2 linked regions of the Arabidopsis thaliana genome follow. The protein of the gene in region 1 interacts with the protein of each later gene in a pairwise test. Each region holds a gene or a part of one and is shown in the gene's direction. Other genes may lie near its edges.

What was found.
Region 2: the proteins of CYTC6A (region 1) and LTO1 interact in a two-hybrid assay, tested with the Arabidopsis thaliana proteins (one study listed by BioGRID).

What each region holds. Positions count from the first base shown.
Region 1 is NC_003076.8:18,172,998-18,181,089, reverse strand, and holds CYTC6A (Cytochrome c), read left to right. Parts: upstream 1-4,201; 5' UTR 4,202-4,238; coding exon 4,239-4,301; intron 4,302-4,388; coding exon 4,389-4,524; intron 4,525-4,882; exon of another isoform or gene 4,883-4,886; coding exon 4,887-4,984; exon of another isoform or gene 4,985-5,071; coding exon 5,072-5,103; exon of another isoform or gene 5,104-5,161; intron 5,162-5,232; coding exon 5,233-5,296; exon of another isoform or gene 5,297-5,389; coding exon 5,390-5,524; 3' UTR 5,525-5,719; downstream 5,720-8,092. Other genes in the region: TTR1 (Disease resistance protein (TIR-NBS-LRR class)), read left to right, coding at 1-1,010, 1,094-1,393, 1,481-2,314, 2,394-3,277, 3,368-3,481, 3,555-4,074; AT5G45030 (Trypsin family protein), read right to left, coding at 5,852-6,285, 6,366-6,872, 6,957-7,197, 7,282-7,425, 7,612-8,092. UniProt on the Arabidopsis thaliana protein: Functions as an electron carrier between membrane-bound cytochrome b6-f and photosystem I in oxygenic photosynthesis.
Region 2 is NC_003075.7:16,940,485-16,946,572, reverse strand, and holds LTO1 (NAD(P)H dehydrogenase (quinone)s), read left to right. Parts: upstream 1-1,895; 5' UTR 1,896-1,950; coding exon 1,951-2,049; intron 2,050-2,125; coding exon 2,126-2,411; intron 2,412-2,691; coding exon 2,692-2,948; intron 2,949-3,044; coding exon 3,045-3,157; intron 3,158-3,307; coding exon 3,308-3,455; intron 3,456-3,539; coding exon 3,540-3,779; coding exon of another isoform or gene 3,780-3,840; 3' UTR 3,841-4,542; downstream 4,543-6,088. Other genes in the region: SEN1 (Rhodanese/Cell cycle control phosphatase superfamily protein), read right to left, coding at 590-664, 745-798, 899-969, 1,060-1,256, 1,349-1,500; AT4G35750 (SEC14 cytosolic factor family protein / phosphoglyceride transfer family protein), read left to right, coding at 4,899-5,022, 5,109-5,373, 5,489-5,708. UniProt on the Arabidopsis thaliana protein: Thiol-disulfide oxidoreductase catalyzing disulfide bond formation of chloroplast proteins and involved in redox regulation and photosynthetic electron transport.

The sequences.
Region 1 (8,092 bases):
AGAAAATGATTAACAAGCAACCGTTGGACATCCGTTGTGTTGGAATTTGGGGTATGCCTGGCATAGGCAAGACTACACTTGCTAAAGCAGTCTTTGACCAAATGTCTGGTGAGTTTGATGCTCATTGCTTTATTGAAGACTACACCAAAGCTATTCAAGAGAAGGGTGTTTATTGTTTGCTGGAGGAACAGTTTTTGAAAGAAAATGCTGGTGCTAGTGGTACCGTTACGAAATTGAGCTTGCTTAGGGATAGATTAAACAATAAGAGGGTTCTTGTTGTTCTTGATGATGTCCGCAGTCCTCTGGTTGTGGAGTCTTTTCTTGGAGGGTTTGACTGGTTTGGTCCCAAAAGTCTAATCATCATAACCTCCAAAGATAAATCGGTGTTTCGCCTTTGTCGAGTCAATCAAATATACGAGGTTCAGGGTTTAAATGAGAAAGAGGCTCTTCAACTCTTCTCTTTGTGTGCGTCTATAGACGATATGGCAGAGCAGAATCTCCACGAGGTGTCAATGAAAGTTATTAAATATGCTAATGGCCATCCATTAGCTCTCAATCTCTATGGCAGAGAACTGATGGGGAAGAAAAGACCACCAGAAATGGAGATAGCATTCCTCAAACTCAAGGAATGTCCTCCAGCTATTTTTGTTGATGCAATCAAGAGCTCGTATGACACACTCAATGACAGGGAAAAAAACATTTTTTTGGACATAGCTTGTTTCTTCCAGGGAGAAAATGTTGACTACGTGATGCAACTGCTTGAGGGTTGTGGTTTCTTTCCACATGTTGGAATTGATGTTCTTGTGGAGAAGAGTCTGGTGACTATTTCAGAAAACCGAGTGCGGATGCATAACTTGATCCAAGATGTTGGCCGACAAATAATAAATAGAGAAACAAGACAGACTAAGAGGCGCAGCAGACTGTGGGAACCTTGCAGCATCAAATATTTATTAGAAGATAAGGAACAAAACGAAAATGAAGAACAAAAAACAACTTTTGAACGTGCTCAGGTCTGTTATCATTTAATAGTTTTATATTGAACCTATTTTATGAGCCAACATCCTACTATAATCCACTTCCAATATTCTTTCAGGTCCCTGAAGAGATCGAAGGCATGTTTCTGGACACATCAAACTTAAGTTTTGATATTAAGCATGTTGCCTTTGATAATATGTTGAACCTTAGATTGTTCAAGATTTACAGTTCCAATCCTGAAGTCCATCATGTAAACAATTTCCTCAAAGGCTCTCTCAGTTCTCTTCCTAATGTGCTAAGACTCCTGCATTGGGAGAACTATCCTCTGCAGTTTCTGCCTCAAAATTTTGATCCTATACACCTTGTTGAAATCAACATGCCGTACAGCCAACTTAAGAAACTTTGGGGTGGAACCAAGGTAAGCAATCTCAAATATGCGTTTTTCGCCGTTATCTATACTCAAAGACAGATTTTGTAATTCTTTTTTTGACATTTTTTTTCGTAGGACCTGGAGATGTTGAAGACAATCAGGCTTTGTCATTCCCAACAACTAGTTGATATTGACGATCTTTTAAAAGCTCAAAATCTTGAGGTAGTTGATCTCCAAGGCTGTACAAGACTGCAGAGTTTCCCAGCCACCGGTCAATTGCTACATTTACGAGTTGTAAATCTCTCAGGTTGCACAGAGATCAAAAGTTTCCCAGAAATTCCCCCAAATATTGAGACACTGAATCTACAGGGGACTGGTATAATAGAATTACCACTTTCCATTGTTAAGCCAAACTACAGAGAGCTTTTGAATCTTCTAGCTGAAATCCCGGGTCTTTCAGGTGTCTCAAACCTTGAGCAAAGTGATCTCAAACCTTTAACAAGCCTGATGAAAATTAGCACATCTTACCAAAATCCTGGCAAGCTTAGTTGCTTGGAGCTGAATGATTGTTCTCGTTTGCGAAGTCTGCCAAACATGGTTAATTTAGAACTTCTCAAAGCCCTTGATCTTTCTGGTTGCTCAGAGCTCGAGACTATCCAGGGTTTCCCACGGAACCTGAAAGAGTTATATCTTGTTGGCACTGCAGTAAGACAAGTGCCACAACTTCCTCAAAGTCTAGAATTCTTTAATGCCCATGGTTGTGTCTCTCTCAAATCAATTCGTTTGGACTTCAAGAAGCTTCCTGTGCATTACACATTTAGTAATTGTTTCGATCTATCTCCACAAGTGGTCAACGATTTTTTAGTGCAGGCGATGGCTAATGTGATTGCAAAACACATACCAAGAGAGCGTCATGTCACAGGCTTTTCTCAAAAGACTGTGCAGCGTTCGAGTCGTGACAGTCAGCAGGTAATACTACATCCTGCTATGTACATCTAGCCCGGTCCTTCATATATCATATCTGACTTATCATGTATTATTGCAACAGGAACTCAACAAAACTTTGGCTTTCAGCTTCTGTGCGCCCTCACATGCGAATCAAAATTCCAAACTTGATCTGCAACCAGGATCTTCTTCAATGACACGACTAGATCCTTCTTGGAGGAACACACTTGTGGGCTTTGCTATGCTGGTGCAAGTCGCATTTTCCGAGGGTTACTGTGATGATACTGATTTTGGCATTAGTTGTGTTTGCAAATGGAAAAACAAGGAAGGCCACTCTCATAGGAGAGAAATAAATTTGCATTGTTGGGCTTTAGGGAAAGCTGTTGAAAGGGATCATACGTTTGTCTTCTTTGATGTCAACATGCGTCCAGATACCGATGAAGGAAATGACCCCGATATCTGGGCTGATTTAGTTGTTTTTGAGTTCTTTCCTGTCAATAAACAGAGAAAGCCTCTAAATGATAGTTGCACAGTGACAAGATGTGGAGTCCGTTTAATAACTGCTGTAAACTGCAATACAAGTATCGAGAATATATCACCAGTTTTGTCCTTGGATCCGATGGAGGTTTCTGGTAATGAAGATGAAGAAGTATTGAGAGTCAGATATGCTGGTTTACAGGAGATATATAAAGCTTTGTTTCTTTACATAGCGGGTTTGTTCAATGACGAGGATGTTGGTTTGGTAGCACCACTTATTGCTAACATTATTGACATGGACGTTAGTTATGGGCTCAAGGTCTTAGCCTATAGGTCTCTCATACGTGTATCTTCCAATGGGGAAATAGTGATGCACTATTTGCTACGACAAATGGGTAAAGAAATCCTCCATACAGAATCAAAGAAGACTGACAAATTAGTCGACAATATTCAGAGTTCCATGATCGCAACAAAGGAAATCGAGATCACTCGTTCAAAGAGTCGCCGAAAGTAGGTTGCTTAGTTTTTAGATTACTTTTTGTAGTATATCATACATTTTGTAGATTGTTTAAAATGAGTTTTTATTGACGGTGGATGCAGGAACAACAAGGAAAAGAGAGTGGTTTGCGTAGTGGATCGAGGCAGCCGGTCCAGTGACCTATGGGTTTGGCGAAAGTATGGTCAAAAACCCATCAAAAGTTCTCCTTATCCAAGGTACACTATATATATACACAAATCTTTGATGTTTACTTAAGGATTAATTAAGTCTTTGCTTTTTACTTCTCAGGAGTTACTATAGATGTGCCAGCTCGAAAGGTTGTTTTGCTAGGAAACAAGTCGAACGTAGCCGCACTGATCCAAATGTTTCAGTAATTACTTACATCTCTGAGCATAACCATCCATTCCCCACTCTACGCAATACTCTTGCCGGCTCCACTCGTTCCTCTTCCTCCAAATGCTCAGATGTAACTACTTCTGCCTCATCGACAGTCTCCCAAGACAAAGAAGGACCGGATAAATCCCATTTGCCTTCCTCCCCTGCTTCTCCTCCTTATGCGGCCATGGTGGTTAAGGAGGAGGACATGGAGCAATGGGACAATATGGAGTTCGATGTTGACGTTGAAGAAGATACTTTCATACCCGAATTATTTCCAGAGGATACCTTCGCTGATATGGACAAGCTTGAGGAAAATTCTCAGACTATGTTTCTCTCTCGCAGAAGCAGCGGAGGCAACATGGAAGCCCAAGGGAAGAACTCTAGTGATGATAGGGAGGTCAATTTACCTAGTAAAATTCTGAATAGATAGTTACTATTATGCAATGTTAATAATAATCTGTTTGATTTTTTAACATTTGTTCGGACATCCAAACCTGTGGGACACAATTTATTACTTTAAAGATAATATATCAAACAGAGAGTGCAATGGATAATATCAAACAGTTAAAAGGAAAAAAAAAAAAATTCTTTGAGATGAGACTTGTTCTCTCTGGTGCCTCTTCTTTCACCTCCAACCTTTTTTGTTCCTCCCAACAGGTTCTCTATTTCTTTCTCTCTATGTAAACATTTTGTTAAGATAATGGTTTCATACATGAACGTGAGTTTGTATCTATTGTTCGAAAGGTCAATGGAAGAGGAAAAGAACTGAAAAACCCAATTTCTCTAAACCACAACAAAGATTTGGACTTTCTGTTAAAGAAGTTAGCTCCGCCACTCACGGCGGTTTTACTTGCTGTTTCACCCATCTGTTTCCCTCCAGGTAAACCCTTGTTTCCTCCGACCAAAAGCTTCTACCTTTAGAGTATTTGCACTTAGATTGAAATATTACAGAATAGCTCTTCACTTTAAGGAATTCGTATAGTTATAAGTTAACAGAGTATTTTTGTAGAACACTTGTCTCACCCATTGCTTGTGAAAAATGAAGAGGATTTTGAGAAATTTCTGTCTGAATTTGTTGTTTTATTCAAGAATGTTTTCTTGTTGGAACTACTGATATGGAATCTGGATTCTGTAACTGGAAACAACGATGTAATCAATGTATCGTTGAATTGCTATTGGAACTGAAGTATGTTTTGAATGTGTTTATGAAAGTTTCTTGCTTTTATGGGTATTGTGGTGTAGAATCTCTTGGGCAGACTTTGGATATACAGAGAGGAGCTACATTGTTTAATAGAGCTTGTATCGGGTGTCATGATACAGGTGGAAACATTATTCAACCTGTGAGCTAAAAACCATTCTTGATTCTCTTCTCATGTCATCTTTCATTACCTTCGAGTCAATTAGCTCATATCTTTCCACTTTTCCAGGGTGCAACGCTTTTCACAAAAGACCTCGAAAGGTAATATAACTTATGCTGGACACTCAAAGAACTGTGTGCTGTGTGCATCTATAATATTCTGACAGGAAAAATCGGTTACACAGATCGTTATCTCTTAAGATTTGCAATGGTTTATTTACTTTTCTACAGAAATGGAGTTGATACTGAGGAAGAAATATATCGTGTTACCTACTTTGGAAAGGGAAGAATGCCGGTGAGATCTCCTTGAAGAAATTCCTTGTATAAAACTGAGAATTGTCTTCCACTTAGCTAGATGATCTGAAGTATGTCTGATGATTTACTTCAGGGATTTGGTGAGAAATGCACACCGAGAGGACAATGTACCTTTGGACCGCGGTTGCAGGACGAAGAAATCAAGCTTCTCGCTGAATTTGTAAAGTTTCAAGCTGACCAAGGCTGGCCAACTGTATCTACGGACTAGCGACTAGGCATTCTTCGTCTTGTGAGCGTTTTTGTAATCCAATTAATCCATAGGGCTGTATCTACTTACACTTATAACAATTCCTTCTGGGAGGTTTCATTGCAATTGCTTATGCTCCCAGATGTTCTTAAGGTACAACAAAATTATAGGTGTTCATAAAATCACCAACACATATATGCTCATAACGTTTGACTATCCCTTGGCATTAGCCATTACAAATATGCTATTCTGAATATCTTTCCTCTGGAGAAAAAATGCAGTGGAAAAATAATAGTGATGTTACTATTGACTCCTCTGGTATGTTATGAAGTCTCATGAGCATAACCCTCACTCTTCATCTTCTTGAGAACCATCTGGTGAATCAGTTCGCTTTCTTTTCTTTGTATCTGACTCACCTAACTGCAAAGAAAAGCCTATCTCATCACCTGAGCTACTAGTCTTAAGCGAAGACAGGTTCTTGGATTCGAGATTCTCTGGTCCATTAGGTTTCTGATGAAGTGCGGATCCGTTGTTGCTTGAACTTGGAATGAACTGGTGTTCTTCGATCACAGCCACTGATTCTAACACGTCTTCTATTTGGAACTCTGGGTGAATGTTTGAGTTGTCGTCTTCTATAAGAACTTGCTGGACATTCAAGTTAATAGGCTCAAAGTTCTCACCCGTTTTACACCTGGAAATATTGCACACACCAGGAGATGATTCCACGACGGTGGAATCAACCGCAGCACACATAATACCGTTTCTCTGTTCCAGCACCGCAGCTGCACTCAGCAAAAGAGACTTTGTAGGAAACAGTGTATACTAAAAGTACTGCAAAAAGACTCTAAGTAATAACACAGACCTTGAAGACCCTCATTGGAAGTAATGAGATCAAGCTCAAGAAGATTAAGAACTCTGCCAAGATCAACTCCACTTGTCCAATTCTCAGGTTGTTCCCCCACTTTTAGCTTCAACCGTCCCCTGTTTGCTGTTCCTCCCCATATGATTCCAACAGGTCGCGGTTTCTCGTTCTTCTCATCGCCCGCAGCCAACAGAATAAGGCTTCCACTATCACCCTCAAGATCAAAAGTCTGCTGGTTTTCACCAACAACAAGAAAATCGGTTAGGAAACAAATTCCTTTCTCGTCATTGTATTCCAACGCGTAAGCCATTATGGTCCCAGTGGTCAAACCCGAGCTTCTTCCAACTTTGACAACTTTTCTTCCTATTAGACTGTTAACTGGAGACTGTAGATCAGTAGCATGGATATCACCAATCTCACCAATCCCTTTGACAGTTGTGGTTACATTGTTCGTATTGAAGTCCTCGGCAAATGGAATGAAGGCTCCATCAGCTCGAACAAATGTTTCTGCAGAAAGAGAGAAACCGATAATTAAAATCGTGCTACGCCATTATACATCAGAGTTAACTCTATACATTGTTACTAGGCTACCTGGGTTAGTTCCAGCGAAAATGCCATACCAAAGGTCATCGGTAATGAATGAAGTTGCTCTTTCCACTGCACCTAAGTAGACTCCGGGTCCGAGGCTAGGTGGCAATGGATGAAACATCTTCTGGCTTGGGTAGTCTAAATCAACTGCAACATGCCGGTTTGTTAGGAAACCAACCTGTCTGATACCAGTTTTACTCTTTACAATTGCACCTAAGGTTCCATATGTCTCTTGGCTAGCCACCTACAAGATGAGAGGCATGGCCAGATGATTATTGTAATATTGTCGATAATACAAGCGTATATGCAAGTTTAGTACACAAATTACCTGTGAACCAGATCCTATGGACGAACCACTGCCTCTCAGATCATCAACAAGCTCTGTATACACCTGCTCTTTAGGTGTTTGCGCAGGTGCACCATAATATTGAAACTCAACAACATCTACATCACACCAAACTCCTCCAGGACCCTATCAAAGCAAGATACTATGAAGTAAAAAAAGGATTCCAGAAGGCAACATAAATAGGCGGCATTAGTAAAGTTTTCTATAATAGGTTCCATGCTGTAGTACCTACATTACTAAAAGTTCCAATATACTCTTTCAAGCACAAGCAAACGATTATAAGTAAAGTATCATAGGCAAGAGATATCTCACCTCCAAGGCTGTAGGTAAACACTGAAGAGGATTAAGCCATTGCTTGTGAACTTTCCGAGCAACAAAAACAAGAATAGCCGCTATATTTGTCAAAACACCTCGTCGAATCCGAAATCCAATAGCCGTACCGAGACTAAACCTCCTTAAATTCTTACTATGAAAAGCTCTAATCATCATCAACTCAAGCAATGTAGTAGCTTTCTTCCCAGTAGGTAAACCATCAAAACTTTCAGGCAAAACACCTTTTTGAAGATTTGCAAAATAGTTTGCTCTGTCTTCCGCTGAATCATTCAATCTACTTGAAGTAGGCCAAGAGAAGTAAGCAGCAGCAGCACTAGTTTCAGGATGCTGAGCGCCTGATGGAAACGGTTGAAGCGGCGATGAAGACGCCAATTTAATATGATTGTAAACATTTTTATCCAAATCCAATGCAGCAGATTCCACAGATTGTGATGATGTAGAGTGATGAAATCTAAGATCC
Region 2 (6,088 bases), on another chromosome or scaffold:
GAGATTGATTTGGATTGCAACTCAATAAAGTGAAAGCCATTCTTTTGAAGCCATTCTTAAGAGCGGCTACGGATTTCTTTGTTAATCAAAGCAAGTAATCATATTAACTGATCGTAAACGATTCAGATACAGAAACACCTGTGTTGAGATTGATATTAGTTTTCATAATATTAGTTTCGGTTCCTTTCGGTTTGATCTTGTCCATGTATAAATATGTTTTTCTATCATTTTATAAATTTAACACTTAAACTTAAAGAATAATAATTTAAAACCAATTTAAAACTTAAATTTTAAGAAAGTAATTAATAATTTTTAACTAAAATAATGTTAATTTCACTATTATCATTTAAAAATTAGTTTAAGTATTAAAATTTTAAAACGGCGAAAACTAAACGTGTGTAGGCATGCATCCCCGTCCTTAATTGGTCCGTAAACTTTGTGGTGTTCGAAGTTCGGTAAAGCTTTCACCCAATATAGATTTGACAGTTAAACTATGTTTTAGAGAATAATAATGATGATTGATACTTGCGTTGAGAACATCTACAGAATTTATTGATAATTACAGGAGGTGATATGGCTATGATTGTTTTCACTCTTCTACCGGCAGCTCATTCTCTGTCCAAGCGACGTATCCTCCAGCAATGTCTGTGATCGCCGTGAAGCCCTGTACATGTGGCGACATTAAACCCGCTTGTCCTAAACCGGATAACGGCTATATAAATTGAAGTGATATTACACACATACAGCAGTGAGAAGATCAGTTGAGGCCATAAATGACATTTGACCGCTCTCACAACCCTGCAGAAGTAGTTTATTACGTGCATCAGAGATTTTGTGAAACAAGGGATTGTCTTCATAGGGGTTTATTTAGTCTCTGAATGTCAAAACTGAAACTTACGATTATGATTTCATCGTGTTTCCTGAAGTGGGACGAGACCTGTCTTAGAAAACTCGGGTTCTTAACCATTCCTGCAACGGTTTTGGCTTGGTGTTAGTTTTAAGTTGTTTTTCATTTTCACTCTTTCTCATAAGAGGAACCTTAAGGTCGGTGATGAAAACCTGATCCGACTCTGTACATGTAAGGTACGTTGATGGCTCTAGTCGGATGTCCGATGCTGAATTCGTCTGGTGTCCTCACGTCGAGATAGCGGTATCCTGCTTGAGCTAGCTCACGCGCCACTCTTACTGGTACTGACGTAGGAATTTTAACTGCCTCTGCTGCAACATTTCCTCTGCTTGTTGTCGTTGCTTTCCTCCTTGAGCAAGAAGTTAATACTCAGATTTAATATTTATTCATAATCTAAAATCAGATAGAGAAGGCGATTCTCGTCGTTGATTGCTAGCTTACCATCGGAAGTTTGAGTTTCGAAGATCAGCTACAATAACACCTCTTCGTGTTGGTAATTGGCACTTGAAAGATCCACATGTTTGTAGAGGTGGAGAAATAGCCGATGACCAGTTTCCAATTCGTGATGTTGTGTTAAAAGCAGTGGTTTCCATTTTCACTTCTTCTTTGAAACTTCTTTTAGAATGCTTTGATGCTACTTAGATACTTCTTCTCTTAGTTCTATAGCGTTTATATAATACATACAGACACAAAGGTATGGGTGTCACGTCAGCAAGTTTTATGTCCGATCTTCGAGTCTCTATCATTTCTATGGATAAATTCAATTATGTACCAAAGTCGATTCCAAAATGTAAACAATGCGTAGATAATGAATCATGATAAGTCCAACTCGGTGCCTCGTGAGTCGTGTTGAAGAGGATAACTTGCTGACTCGGACGGATAAGAAGACCGTAAGGCCCAATTGTGATAAACTAATTATGGATCCAAATTATCGTATTTGGGCCTCGTTTAGGCCCAATATTGAAACAAGTGGCTGAGATAGTGGAGCGGAGGAGAGAAGATGATGAAGTTAACAATGGTGGAATAGCGATTCTTCGACGACGATGATGGCGAGGTTTGTTTCTGTGTCGTCTTGTCAGTTTCATTTCGGCTTCCGTGAGGTTTCTCCTCCGTCGGTAACTTCTTATCCTAGACGATTCGAGGTAAATTCTTGTCATGTGTTTTCTTCAGTGACAGTAGTGTGTGATCGGTCATTTGAAGTCAGATGTTCTGAATTAGGTCTCTGATCGGAGATTTCCTGCGATTCCGATTAAATGTTCTTCATCTGAGCCGGAAAACGGTGAGGATTCGGCACCGTCGCTGTCTTCCTCCTCCTCATCGTCTACAAGTGAAGTATCTACTAGTAACAGTTCGACATACAACTGGTACACCGGAATCGGCGGTATTGGGATGTTAGACACTGCGTATTTGACTTACCTCAAGGTCACTGGCTCCGATGCGTTTTGCCCTATTGGTGGTGGCACTTGCGGTGATGTCCTCAACAGCGATTATGCCGTCGTTTTCGGTATTATCCATCGCTTTATTGATTATAGCGTTTGATTTATGTAGCTAATTGTCCTCTCTTTTATAGTAGGCATGATTAAATACTCGCATGTGATAGTCTCTGTGAATCTTTGCTTGAAGCTATATCATTTAGGAGCTTTGGTACTTAGTATGCATAGAATTGTTAGAGTTAAATAGCATGCTTCACTCCACTCTATGTAGTGCTTTGTCTTCGTTGTTTGTCCAACATTGCATTGCAGGTAAGTTGAACTCAATGAAAATCCTTTTTTACATTTTGCCAGGTGTTCCTCTTCCAGTGATTGGATTTGTTATGTATGGCGTAGTAACCGCTCTAAGTGCAGAGCTTGGGGAAGGGAATCTACCTTTTGGAATCAGTAAGAGCAATGGGCGTTTCGCGTTATTTGGGATCACGACTGCAATGGCATCTGCTAGTGCATATTTCCTGTATATCCTTAGCACAAAACTCTCAGGATCATCATGCCTGTATTGTCTGGTGTCTGCTTTCTTATCATTTAGTCTATTTTTCCTCTCTGTAAAGGTATCCCTTTATTTCCATTTCTTTTTTTTTCCTGATGTTGACTCAAGATAACTTCTAAACTTCGGATTATGATAATGTGCTCCATGCATGTGGTAGGATGTGAAGTTGCAAGAAATACAGCAAGTTGTAGGATTGCAGATATGCTTAGCAATCATAGTAGTTGCCTCCTTGACTGCTTCTTACAGTACTGCTCAACCAATCCCTTCACGGTAATCAAAGTTCATAGTTTTCTTTGGGGAGTCCCGATAGAAATTTTAGTCATTTGTAACGAGTAGTGAACAAATAGCTTCCGAAAGATGTATGAGTCTTATCAGGTGGTCTCTTTTAATCCCGATCGTTTTTTGTTTCACTCCTTCCAGCTCTGGTGACATTGAACTGCCATATTTTAGAACAGAGATCAGTTCATCATCGAGCCCTTATGCTATTGCTTTAGCAAAACATCTAAACTCCATTGGAGCTAAAATGTATGGGGCATTCTGGTGTTCTCACTGCTTAGAGCAAAAAGAGGTAGTTAGTTCATTCATCACCTGTTTGCCAAGAATCAGTTTTATGCTTTTATTATATGTTCATTATAGTTCCATCCATCTACAGATGTTTGGAAGAGAAGCGGCAAAAGAACTGAACTACGTGGAATGTTTTCCGGATGGATATAAGAAAGGAACTAAGATACTCAAGGCATGTGCAGATGCTGCGATCGAAGGATTCCCAACATGGATAATAAATGATAAGGTGAGTAAATCCTCTGAACCCCTTGTACATTTCATCACATGTCAGTACCTATTTCACCTCTTTTATAAATTAGGTCTTAAGCGGAGAAATAGAACTCGCTGAACTAGCGGAGATGACTGGATTCAGCCTTGATCAGGCAAATGAGACCAATCAACTTCAGTAAATTTTGTATTGGTGCAGAAAATATTAAGGTGAATCCGTAAATGTTGTTTACTTGATCCTCCTGATAGCTATAGGGTGTTCTATACAAATTCAAGTAATGAAAGTGCTTATTGTTGCCATAGGAGGTTACAACTTCATCTGTATCACTTAGCCTACACCAGAGCATCACTATTTTATAATTGAAAGATTCATAGGTTCTTCCAAAGAATGTTAGGGTACTATTAATTCGAGAATCTACAGCCATCTAGTACTGGCTTTATGTAAGTATAATGTCTAAAAGTATGGTCTATATAAGAGAGTCACACATGTATTTTGTATATATATGCGTGTAGAGTAGTAGCAGATATATGATGTATGGGAAACTTAGAGAATTACGTTTACAATATTTGGTGCCCTATTGAATACCTTCCTTGAATGTGCCTCCTCGGTATTTTTCTATTGTAATGATCCATCCACAAGTTTCGCTGTTATTATCCGTTTAATATGCAGAAGATAATGTTTTTCCTTATATTTTTTAAAAGATTCCATTGGGCATTGGATAGATATGAACATAGAGATCTTTATAATCTTTAATAATTTGTAAGCTCAGATTAGTTTAACTCAACATCGGATGGGATGATCCAAAATAACGCCCATCTTATCCAATAATCTACATGAATCATGTGATGAGACGTAACGCTTAAGGCGGGGGGCGGGAAAAGAGTCAAAAAAGGCAGTAGCCGTTAGATGTAGCAAAAACGGATGGACCAGATTAGTTGCTTAACAACGAAAGATCAAGAGAGGGCGAAAAAGGTAATAATTATTGGAATGTAGGACCCACAAAGAGGTGAGGAAGATCATGATAAAAAGGAAGATGCTATAGAATATTCGTAAGAGCCCGTCGTTTCTCCCATTACCCTCCAATTAATACACTATTTTTTTTATTTTTTTGTCTTTCCCTTTTTAAAATGATCATCATCTTCTTCTTCACTCGCCTCAATTTTTGTTCCCTTCTTCTTCTATAATTCAACTGTGAATTTCACCGACGAAACAAAAAAGAGAGAGAGAGAGAGAGAAACGATGAGTTCTCAGATTTCGGAGATTGAACAAGAGCAGCTGATCGAGAAGCTTGAGATCTTCAAGATCCATGGCAGAGACAAACGTGGCCGTAAGATCCTTCGTATTATCGGAAAATTCTTCCCAGGTACTGATATATCAATCGGATCTGTTTCTTTTTCTCTCTGTGTAGATTTGTTCTTATATTTGAGTTTTTTTTGTTTCTGAAATCAGCTCGATTTCTGTCACTGGATGTGTTGAAGAAGTATCTAGAGGAGAAGATATTTCCTCGATTAGGTAGAAAACCATTCGCCGTACTCTACGTCCACACCGGCGTACAGAGAAGCGAGAACTTCCCAGGTATCTCAGCTCTACGAGCGATCTACGACGCAATTCCGGTAAACGTCAGAGACAATCTTCAGGAGGTTTACTTCCTCCATCCAGGTCTTCAATCACGTCTCTTCCTCGCCACCTGCGGCCGATTTCTATTTTCCGGCGGGTGAGTAACTAACCGCCGCGTTTTTTAATTTTCTGGTCAACGACTTTTCTTGATACTATAGTTTTTTTTAGAAAAACGTTGATTAATTAATTGGTGTGGTGATTGGCTGCGGTAGGTTGTACGGGAAGCTGAGGTACATAAGCAGAGTTGATTATCTGTGGGAACATGTGAGGAGGAATGAGATAGAGATGCCGGAGTTTGTATACGATCACGATGATGATCTGGAGTATCGTCCGATGATGGATTACGGTCAAGAAAGCGATCACGCGAGGGTTTTCGCCGGAGCCGCCGTGGATTCATCAGTCTCAAGTTTCTCCATGAGGTGTATCTCATAGCGTAAAAGGCTAAAACTCCACCCACTAGATATCGGATCGTATCTTATAAACCATATAATATACGAATACGATTAATAATATATCAAAAAGATTGGAAATAGGTGTGCTTTTTGAAATTAGTGAGCGTTTTTTATGGAAAAGAAAAGAAAAGAAAGCAGTTGGCGTCTGGATAAAGGGAAGGAGGAGAATCTTTAGATTTTTTCTTTAATCTGTTTTTCTTTTGTCTTGATTAGTTTTTTCTTTAGTGGTGGTGGTTGTGAGTTAGTGTGTAAAATGTATATTGTCATATGTGAATTTAATAATAAGTCCTTTTGTAAGATGATCAAGGGAAAATTAGAAATTGAAAAAAAGTCATTTTAAATTTACAGCAGCAAATATGA